Linked DNA regions of Saccharomyces cerevisiae S288C. The protein of the gene in region 1 interacts with the protein of each later gene in a biochemical or structural test. Each region holds a gene or a part of one and is shown on either strand. Other genes may lie near its edges.

Evidence for each region.
Region 2: the proteins of EMP24 (region 1) and SEC24 form a complex in vitro, tested with the Saccharomyces cerevisiae proteins (one study listed by BioGRID).

What each region holds. Positions count from the first base shown.
Region 1 is NC_001139.9:121,756-125,712, forward strand, and holds EMP24 (Emp24p), read right to left. Parts: upstream 1,551-3,957; coding exon 939-1,550; downstream 1-938. Other genes in the region: YIP4 (Yip4p), read left to right, coding at 1,836-2,543; MDS3 (Mds3p), read left to right, coding at 2,943-3,957. UniProt on the Saccharomyces cerevisiae protein: Constituent of COPII-coated endoplasmic reticulum-derived transport vesicles. Required for efficient transport of a subset of secretory proteins to the Golgi.
Region 2 is NC_001141.2:156,365-161,752, reverse strand, and holds SEC24 (COPII subunit SEC24), read left to right. Parts: upstream 1-1,587; coding exon 1,588-4,368; downstream 4,369-5,388. Other genes in the region: YIL108W (putative metalloendopeptidase), read right to left, coding at 1-866; HPM1 (protein-histidine N-methyltransferase), read right to left, coding at 4,575-5,388. UniProt on the Saccharomyces cerevisiae protein: Component of the coat protein complex II (COPII) which promotes the formation of transport vesicles from the endoplasmic reticulum (ER).

The DNA of each region.
Region 1 (3,957 bases):
TAACGTCAAAACCGTATACAGTCCTCATCCGCCTTGGGGGCCAGCATATTATATATAAAAACTCCTGAAAAACACTTACCCAGAGGTACGATAATGAATGACGCTTATGTGATTTATGGTTAACGCAGTACCCAAGACAAGTATGCAGCGTTAACTCCCAATCAAAGAAAATATAGTGGATTCTAATCTGACGAACTACGGACAGTAATTGGTATTTTTACTCATTAGTGACTTTGGTAATGCCCTATATTTCACTAGAAGGTGTCACAGTGTCACAAATTTTACATCACAGTTCCCTTTCGTAAGATCAAGAATATGGCTGACTATAGTGGACATCTTCTTACACCGTATATAGTAATATATTGCTAATATGAGCACTAGTTGATTCTTGTTCCAACAGTATATTCCAAACATGTGTTAATCACGCGTTGATACAATGTGGCTCGGCTACAAATCAGTTATTAACATCGTGAGCTATGTTTCCCTGAAATGGGGACGTTTTCCAACGAATTAGCCTTGTTGGCGCAATCGGTAGCGCGTATGACTCTTAATCATAAGGTTAGGGGTTCGAGCCCCCTACAGGGCTATTCTTTTTTTGTTCTATATGAACAGAGCTATTTCCCTTCTAAGAGTCCCACATAAAAGTGCTCTGGGGAAAAACGGACCACAGCATGTCCTGTGGTACTTGTTTCTTTCAAGTTTTTCGTATGTATTTCCCATTTTTTGATTCGCTACAACCTGTATTTGTTTTATGGCGCGCCTGGACCATATATATGTATATATTTATTTACATGTAATTGGCACAGGGAAAAACAGTGGAAGGATCAAGGTAAAAAGTATGAAACCGAGAATTATTCGCGACTTCAGGTTATCCAATCGTGTATGTAATCGTATGTAGGCAAAAGTAAATAGATATGAACTACATTTTCCTGCTTTACTTAGACTAGAGATGTGACCTCAAAGAATCTTCTCAAGTAGTATATCTGGAAAAGAGAGTTTGCAATAACGACGCCCAATTGGAAGATGGACCACCATTTAACACGATCGTTGGTCGACTCTGCAGTATTTCTATGCGTCCTTTCTCTAATAACAATATAACTTTGTTCGTCCTTGACTTCCCTGGTTAATTTGGACAACTTTCTGACAGCACTATCCAATGTATTGGTGTTTGGGTCGTCCAAATCCACATATACCACCCCATGAATGTTGAAAGTCACGTCTTTTGTCTCGATACCGGTGTTCTCGTTCAAGAAACAGTATTGGAAATGTCCCTTGTATGGAGCAGACAATGTGATTTCACCGTGCGACGTGTCCCTAACCGTTTTCAAAACTTCATGTCTTTCCGGCCCGTAGATGATAAAGTCACCAGTCAGCTGGCTACTGGATTGAGGGTTTCTATCACCGAACTGGAACGAAATGGAGAGCTCGTCACCCTTACTCAAGTCTTCGAAGAAGCATCTACGGCCATAAGCTGGAAGAAGGACATTATGGGCGGACGCCGAGAAGAACAGGAAGCAAGCAATGACAAACTTAGTAGCAAATGAGGCCATCCTTATGCGTGTGTATTTTTGTGCGGAGGGATACTATTAAGATTGCAGTTTCACCAAGTATAGCTTTTTATTTCATTATAAGTTTCGTGTCAAAATGTTTAAGCGACCCGATCTCTCAGGCTGTTTTGCACGACTTTTCTGACTTTCCTCGCGTCTTTTTTCATGAAAATTGGATTACCCGGAGTGATGATTTTCTCACAGTGATTTTTCGTCCCCTTTTACAATAGCAAATGAAGCTGTTTTAGCAATATTTGTAGAAAGATATGTCACAAGAGGGCAGGCAAAATGTCATACGGAAGAGAAGACACTACGATTGAGCCCGACTTCATAGAACCAGATGCACCTTTGGCTGCTTCCGGGGGTGTTGCTGACAACATAGGCGGAACTATGCAGAATTCAGGCAGCAGAGGGACGCTCGACGAGACTGTGCTGCAAACACTAAAGCGAGATGTGGTGGAGATTAATTCCAGACTGAAACAAGTGGTATACCCGCATTTCCCCTCATTCTTTAGCCCCTCTGATGACGGGATAGGGGCGGCTGATAACGACATTTCAGCCAATTGCGACCTGTGGGCGCCCCTTGCGTTTATCATATTGTATTCTCTATTTGTATCGCATGCGCGGTCGCTGTTCTCGAGCCTATTTGTGTCTAGTTGGTTCATTTTGCTGGTGATGGCATTGCATCTGAGACTCACCAAGCCACACCAGAGGGTGTCGCTGATTTCGTACATCTCCATTTCCGGGTATTGCTTATTCCCACAAGTGCTGAATGCCTTAGTCTCGCAGATACTACTTCCATTGGCCTACCATATTGGAAAGCAAAATCGCTGGATTGTGAGGGTCCTGTCGCTCGTGAAACTGGTGGTCATGGCGCTGTGCCTGATGTGGTCTGTGGCCGCCGTTTCGTGGGTTACCAAGAGCAAGACCATTATCGAGATATACCCTCTGGCACTCTGTCTTTTTGGCATGGCCTGGTTGTCAACTATTTTATAACACTAGTTACATATGTATAAAACCCAATATCATGGACATAGAATTGCCTATCTCGCGAGCCACGGCAGAAAGTTCTGAAAAAAAAAAAAAAGAGGACGCTCACAGGGGCTGGCGTGTGGCTAAGGCAGACTCCGTGGAGTGTAAGAGAAGTTCAAAGCAAGATTAGGCTTTCTGATGAATTGGTAGCGCAGAGTCTGGCAAAGTCTATTTCAAGTTCACAGCGTCCGTTTACCACAATTGTTTGAGAACTCTTCTCCTTCCTGTGCCTATAGCCACACTTGCAAACATTACATGGTGAAGGCGCTTTAGAGACTTTTCTGTTTTACTATATATATAAGATAACATAGCGCGCGTGCAAACCAAAGGACAAGTAACAATCTGCACCTGCTTTAGCGTAGTATGCCTTTATTACAACCATCCACTTGCTTCTGCTACCCTTTGAAGCTTCCGCCATTACCACTGACTTCCGATTCCAACGAGTTTGATGAATGCGCCAGGAAAAGGTTAACGCTGGACTATAGAACAGGTTCAGCGGTGACGCTAACAAGGTCTAATATATTTGTACATGGTGGTCTAACCATCCCGTTGAACCTGCCAGTTGTAAATTCTATGCAATTACAAAAGGAGCTTATTCTCTTTTTTGCAAAGGAAAAAAACAACGGTAGTTCTTTTAGGAATTTAAACGAGTGGATAAGTAAGGAGACGTTTTTCTTAGACTTGATGTCTAGAACCTGGTACAGAGTCAAGACCTCCTTTGACCAAAGGACAGAGGAATTATTAAAGGCAGAGAGTTCTAGCGCCAAAGCAGATAATGACACAAACGAGATTAGAACGGACATTAAGAAAGGTAAATCCCTTGAATCTCCGCTCAAGGAGAGGCTATTCCATTCCTTATGTTATTTAGATGGCTGTTTATATATATTTGGTGGTCTCACAGTGTCTCCTCAGAGCGGATATGAGTTGATTGCTACCAATGAGTTGTGGAAACTGGATTTAAACACGAAGAAGTGGTCGCTTTTGAGTGATGACCCTCAAATAGCGAGAAGGTTCAACCATACCATGCATGTAAAGAACGAAAATAACGATAATAGAGACACGAAATTAATAATTGTCGGAGGTCTTAATAACATGGATCAGCCGGTCAAGAAAATAGACATCTATAACATCTCACAGAATTGCTGGCAATCCGAAACCATACCCAAACAACCGATGGAAATCACTACAAATGTCAATGGCATACCATTAGCATTATCAAAGGATCAGAATTTTTCGATTTTAGTTGAAAATAATGAGGCCAACGTTCCAGCGCTGGCATTCTATATGAGAAGTGATCAAATAGACGAATATCTCGGAAAGGATTCATCAAAGATAAAGGAGAATTCGCCTATAGTGGCGTTGCCGCTATTGTCTGAAT
Region 2 (5,388 bases), on another chromosome or scaffold:
CTTGTCTCATCAGTAAAATAAGGCACCAATTGCTCGAGACAAGTAGGCCATGAGTAAAGCCCGTGCGACCCAAAAATGGCGAGCTTAATGCTGTCGTCACCCCCACCCAATGCGGCGTGGCCTCTAATCAACTTACCATCCCAGTGGGTGTCTAGAAACATACAAGCTGCCTGAACAGGCTTTTCGTTATTGGTGAAGGGTCCGCCGTAACTTTTAAGGGCGTCCATGGCTATCCCAAAAAGGGCGCCGGTGTTTTTCCCTTTGGAATTCTGTTGAGCTATGTCAGGGTCCTGGATTTCCTTCACCGTCTTTTCCGAACGAACTACATGTATTTTGATGGTGTTTCTCATAGCAGGCCGTTCGAACAGCGTGTCCCAGGTAAATTCTTCAACAAAGGGAAACGTCCTATTTCCCATACTGTTTCTCAGCATTTGCTCGTTCGTGTACGCTTGCATGAGTCTGGCCCCAAGTCTTAGCTTCTTGATTGCCAATTCGAGGCCATTCCCGCCCTCTCTGTCCTTCTGTTCTCGAGGAGAGTCAAACTGTAAAGGCGAATCCTTGGCCAAGATCAGACACAGGTGTACGGGAGGGTTCTGCGTCAGTGGTGTGTAGTAACATACGATTGTCCTAGCGGTGTTAGTGTCTGTAACAAAGGTCAACTTGTTCTCACCAGGAGTCAATATCACAGTGGCCTTGAAGAACTGATTATGTATGGGGTAAGTAATTGGAGGCAATTGTGGATGCTGCACTTGAACGGTCTTCGCACCATTTTGCTTATTGCATTTTCCGTGCACGATAAGACAAGGAGAAACGATTTGCTCGTTCTCTCTCAGGTTGAATAGATCAATATCCTTCGAGCCTACCATTTATTTCTTTCTCTTCGAACTACTACTTCCTTTTTTTTTTTTTACTGTATACGATCTAATAATAAGAAGAAAGAAGAACTCCTTTTAAATTTCCTTTTTCTCTCTATTTTCCGGCGACCGCTACTCTTAAACGTCCAAACCAAAAAAAGATCGAGAGAATTGACTGCGCCAAGACACATGAACTTCTGAAACCTAAGAAAGCCTGACTGTTCCTAAGGTGATCTATATTTATATACAACATCATGCTCTTAAAAGAATAGGTTACGTAATTAATTGATGGAAAATTTCAGCAAATTTCCGCCTAGAATGCCGGGTAACAAAAAAGTAATTAGTGCTATGTTTGGGTGATAGAATCGTGTCACAAATATACATAGCACTGACAAGTGTGCATTTTGCACTAACCACTGCTATAAGTTTTTCAGCTTAATGCAGTCTATTCAGGCACTATCTGGGCTTGAAAAACAGTCTTGGACATGGCCACTGGAGCAGATTTGTTAACGCTTAGCTGTTCTCTTTTTTTTTTTCTTGTTTTTTCCATTTACGGCAGAAGAAAATGAAAACTGGAAGAACGAAAACGAAGAAAAACAAAACTATGTAAGGAGGATGGTACATCAGGAAACAGGCCAAAAATAGCACTACAAAAAGGTTTTATCTGGCACTCAGGTCCATTTTTGCCGCATTGAAACAGACATAAATATATAAGTCTGAGACCATCTGCAAAATGTCTCATCACAAGAAACGTGTTTACCCACAAGCTCAGCTCCAGTATGGACAAAATGCCACCCCTCTACAACAGCCAGCACAATTCATGCCTCCGCAGGATCCTGCTGCAGCTGGAATGAGCTATGGTCAGATGGGAATGCCGCCACAGGGTGCAGTCCCTTCCATGGGGCAGCAACAATTCCTAACCCCTGCTCAAGAACAGTTACACCAGCAAATTGATCAGGCCACCACTTCCATGAACGATATGCATCTGCACAACGTACCGCTAGTCGATCCTAACGCTTATATGCAGCCACAGGTTCCCGTGCAAATGGGCACACCTTTGCAGCAACAGCAACAACCAATGGCAGCGCCTGCGTATGGCCAACCTAGCGCCGCAATGGGCCAAAACATGAGGCCCATGAACCAGTTGTATCCAATCGATCTGTTGACGGAATTGCCTCCTCCAATTACCGATCTGACCTTGCCTCCCCCACCGTTGGTTATTCCTCCAGAAAGGATGTTAGTTCCTTCTGAATTGTCCAATGCGTCTCCAGATTATATCAGGTCGACCTTGAACGCCGTTCCTAAGAACAGCTCCCTGCTGAAGAAGTCTAAACTTCCATTTGGGCTTGTTATCAGACCATACCAACACTTGTACGACGATATCGACCCGCCTCCATTGAATGAAGATGGACTTATTGTCCGTTGTCGTCGTTGTCGTTCTTACATGAACCCTTTTGTCACTTTTATCGAGCAAGGCAGAAGATGGAGATGTAACTTTTGTCGTCTGGCCAATGACGTTCCTATGCAAATGGACCAGAGCGATCCAAACGACCCAAAGAGTAGATACGACAGAAATGAAATCAAATGTGCTGTGATGGAATATATGGCCCCAAAGGAATATACTCTAAGACAACCACCTCCAGCCACTTACTGTTTCCTGATCGATGTCTCCCAGTCCTCTATCAAGAGTGGGTTACTGGCCACTACCATCAACACCCTTTTGCAAAATCTTGATTCCATTCCAAACCATGATGAAAGAACCAGAATTTCCATCTTATGTGTAGACAACGCCATTCACTACTTTAAAATCCCATTGGATTCTGAAAACAATGAAGAGTCCGCCGATCAAATCAACATGATGGATATTGCCGACCTGGAAGAGCCTTTCTTGCCCAGACCAAACTCTATGGTTGTGTCCTTAAAGGCCTGCAGACAAAACATTGAAACTTTATTGACCAAGATTCCTCAAATCTTCCAATCTAATTTAATCACAAATTTCGCACTGGGCCCCGCTTTGAAATCCGCTTATCATTTAATTGGTGGCGTTGGTGGTAAAATAATTGTTGTGTCAGGTACTTTGCCCAACTTAGGCATAGGAAAATTACAAAGGAGAAATGAAAGTGGTGTTGTTAATACATCCAAGGAAACTGCACAACTACTTTCCTGTCAAGACTCATTTTATAAGAATTTCACCATCGATTGTTCTAAAGTACAGATTACTGTCGATTTATTTTTGGCTTCTGAAGATTATATGGACGTTGCATCACTATCGAATTTGAGTCGTTTCACTGCTGGTCAAACGCATTTCTATCCTGGTTTTTCAGGCAAGAACCCAAATGATATTGTCAAATTTTCCACTGAGTTTGCCAAGCACATTTCCATGGATTTCTGTATGGAAACCGTAATGAGAGCCCGTGGTTCCACAGGTTTGAGAATGAGTAGATTCTATGGTCACTTCTTCAATAGATCATCTGATTTATGTGCATTTTCCACCATGCCAAGAGATCAATCATACTTATTCGAAGTTAACGTTGATGAATCCATTATGGCTGACTATTGTTATGTTCAAGTAGCGGTACTTTTATCTCTGAATAATAGTCAACGTAGAATAAGAATTATAACATTGGCTATGCCAACCACGGAATCGTTGGCAGAAGTCTACGCATCTGCTGACCAATTAGCTATAGCGTCGTTTTACAACTCGAAGGCGGTGGAGAAAGCATTGAATTCCAGTTTGGACGATGCAAGAGTATTGATCAACAAATCCGTGCAAGATATCTTAGCCACGTACAAGAAGGAAATAGTGGTGTCCAACACTGCAGGGGGGGCCCCATTGAGGTTATGTGCCAATTTGAGAATGTTCCCATTGTTAATGCATTCTTTAACTAAGCATATGGCATTTAGATCTGGTATTGTCCCAAGTGACCATCGCGCCTCGGCCTTGAACAACTTAGAATCATTACCTTTGAAATATCTAATCAAAAACATCTACCCTGATGTTTATTCGCTGCATGATATGGCTGATGAGGCTGGGTTACCAGTGCAAACTGAAGATGGTGAAGCTACTGGCACAATTGTTTTGCCTCAACCAATCAATGCTACCTCTTCGTTGTTTGAAAGATACGGTCTATACTTGATAGATAATGGTAACGAATTGTTTTTGTGGATGGGTGGTGACGCTGTACCAGCGCTAGTATTCGATGTGTTTGGAACACAGGATATCTTTGACATTCCAATTGGCAAACAGGAAATACCTGTTGTTGAAAATTCTGAATTCAATCAAAGAGTAAGAAACATTATCAACCAATTGAGAAACCATGATGATGTCATCACTTACCAATCATTGTATATTGTTAGGGGTGCCTCTTTGAGCGAGCCCGTTAACCATGCATCTGCTAGGGAAGTTGCAACGCTAAGACTATGGGCTTCTAGCACCTTAGTGGAGGATAAGATTTTGAATAACGAAAGTTACAGAGAATTCTTACAAATCATGAAAGCCAGAATTAGCAAATAAGGCTAAAAGGGAATCAATGATAAAAAGAAACTGTATATTTTTGTTGGTTGCATTTTTGCTTTCCAATTATATTATGTATATTGAACAGTTACTTTAATTTTTACTTCTATATTTCTTTTCTATTTTCATCCATGTTATAAATAAAAGATACAGTAAAAGACTTATGGATTAACTTAAGGAAATGAAGTTGAAACAAATTATACTAACTATCGGATAGCTTTATTTGTTTCAATGCATATAATCGACCTTTTTAAGCCAGAGTTAACTTTAAACCTTTCAGAATGAATTGGTAGATGTTCGGAGTTTATTTTGTCGTCCAAATAAGCTTCAAATTCAGTGATGCTACCACCGACTCCAAAATAAATATCCTTTGCGGCTACGTAAGTTTTGACATCGGTTTGTGGTAAATTGTGTATGTCAAGTATTGTTTCCGCTATAACGGGCAAATTGTCAGGTTGATAAATTGTTTCTGAGGATAATGAAAGGACTTTTTGGCTACCTGAGAGTACTTCATGGATCAAATTACTAAATTTACGTCCCCACGATCCTGATATAAGAGTGACGCTGATATTCCTGCTTTGTACATCGTCGTAAAAGGCAGCTAACAGCTTTGAGGTAAGAAGCAGTTCCTCATTATTTATTGGAATATCTTCACATTCGTCTTTCTGTAAGGCGTACCATTGTTCCTTTGTCAAAACCGTTTTAGCCCATGTTATAACCAAATTCGGTATGGTAACTAATCTTAATACACTGGCATTATAGTCAGTCAAAACAAACTTTAAACCTTTACTTCTATCATTCCGTAGAAGAGCAGATCTGAAAAGAAACTCTGAGGGTAGTGCCGTACCACAGCCTATTTCGACAACCGCGTCGATATCGTTGCTTATTCTATCAACGTTCTCTGACAACAAATCAACTAAATCATAAGAGCACTCCCATGATTTCAACCCACCTTCATAGATGTTCTTTCTCAAATCTTCAGAAGTATCACCTAGTAAAATGTCCAGTTCCGTGGAGTTG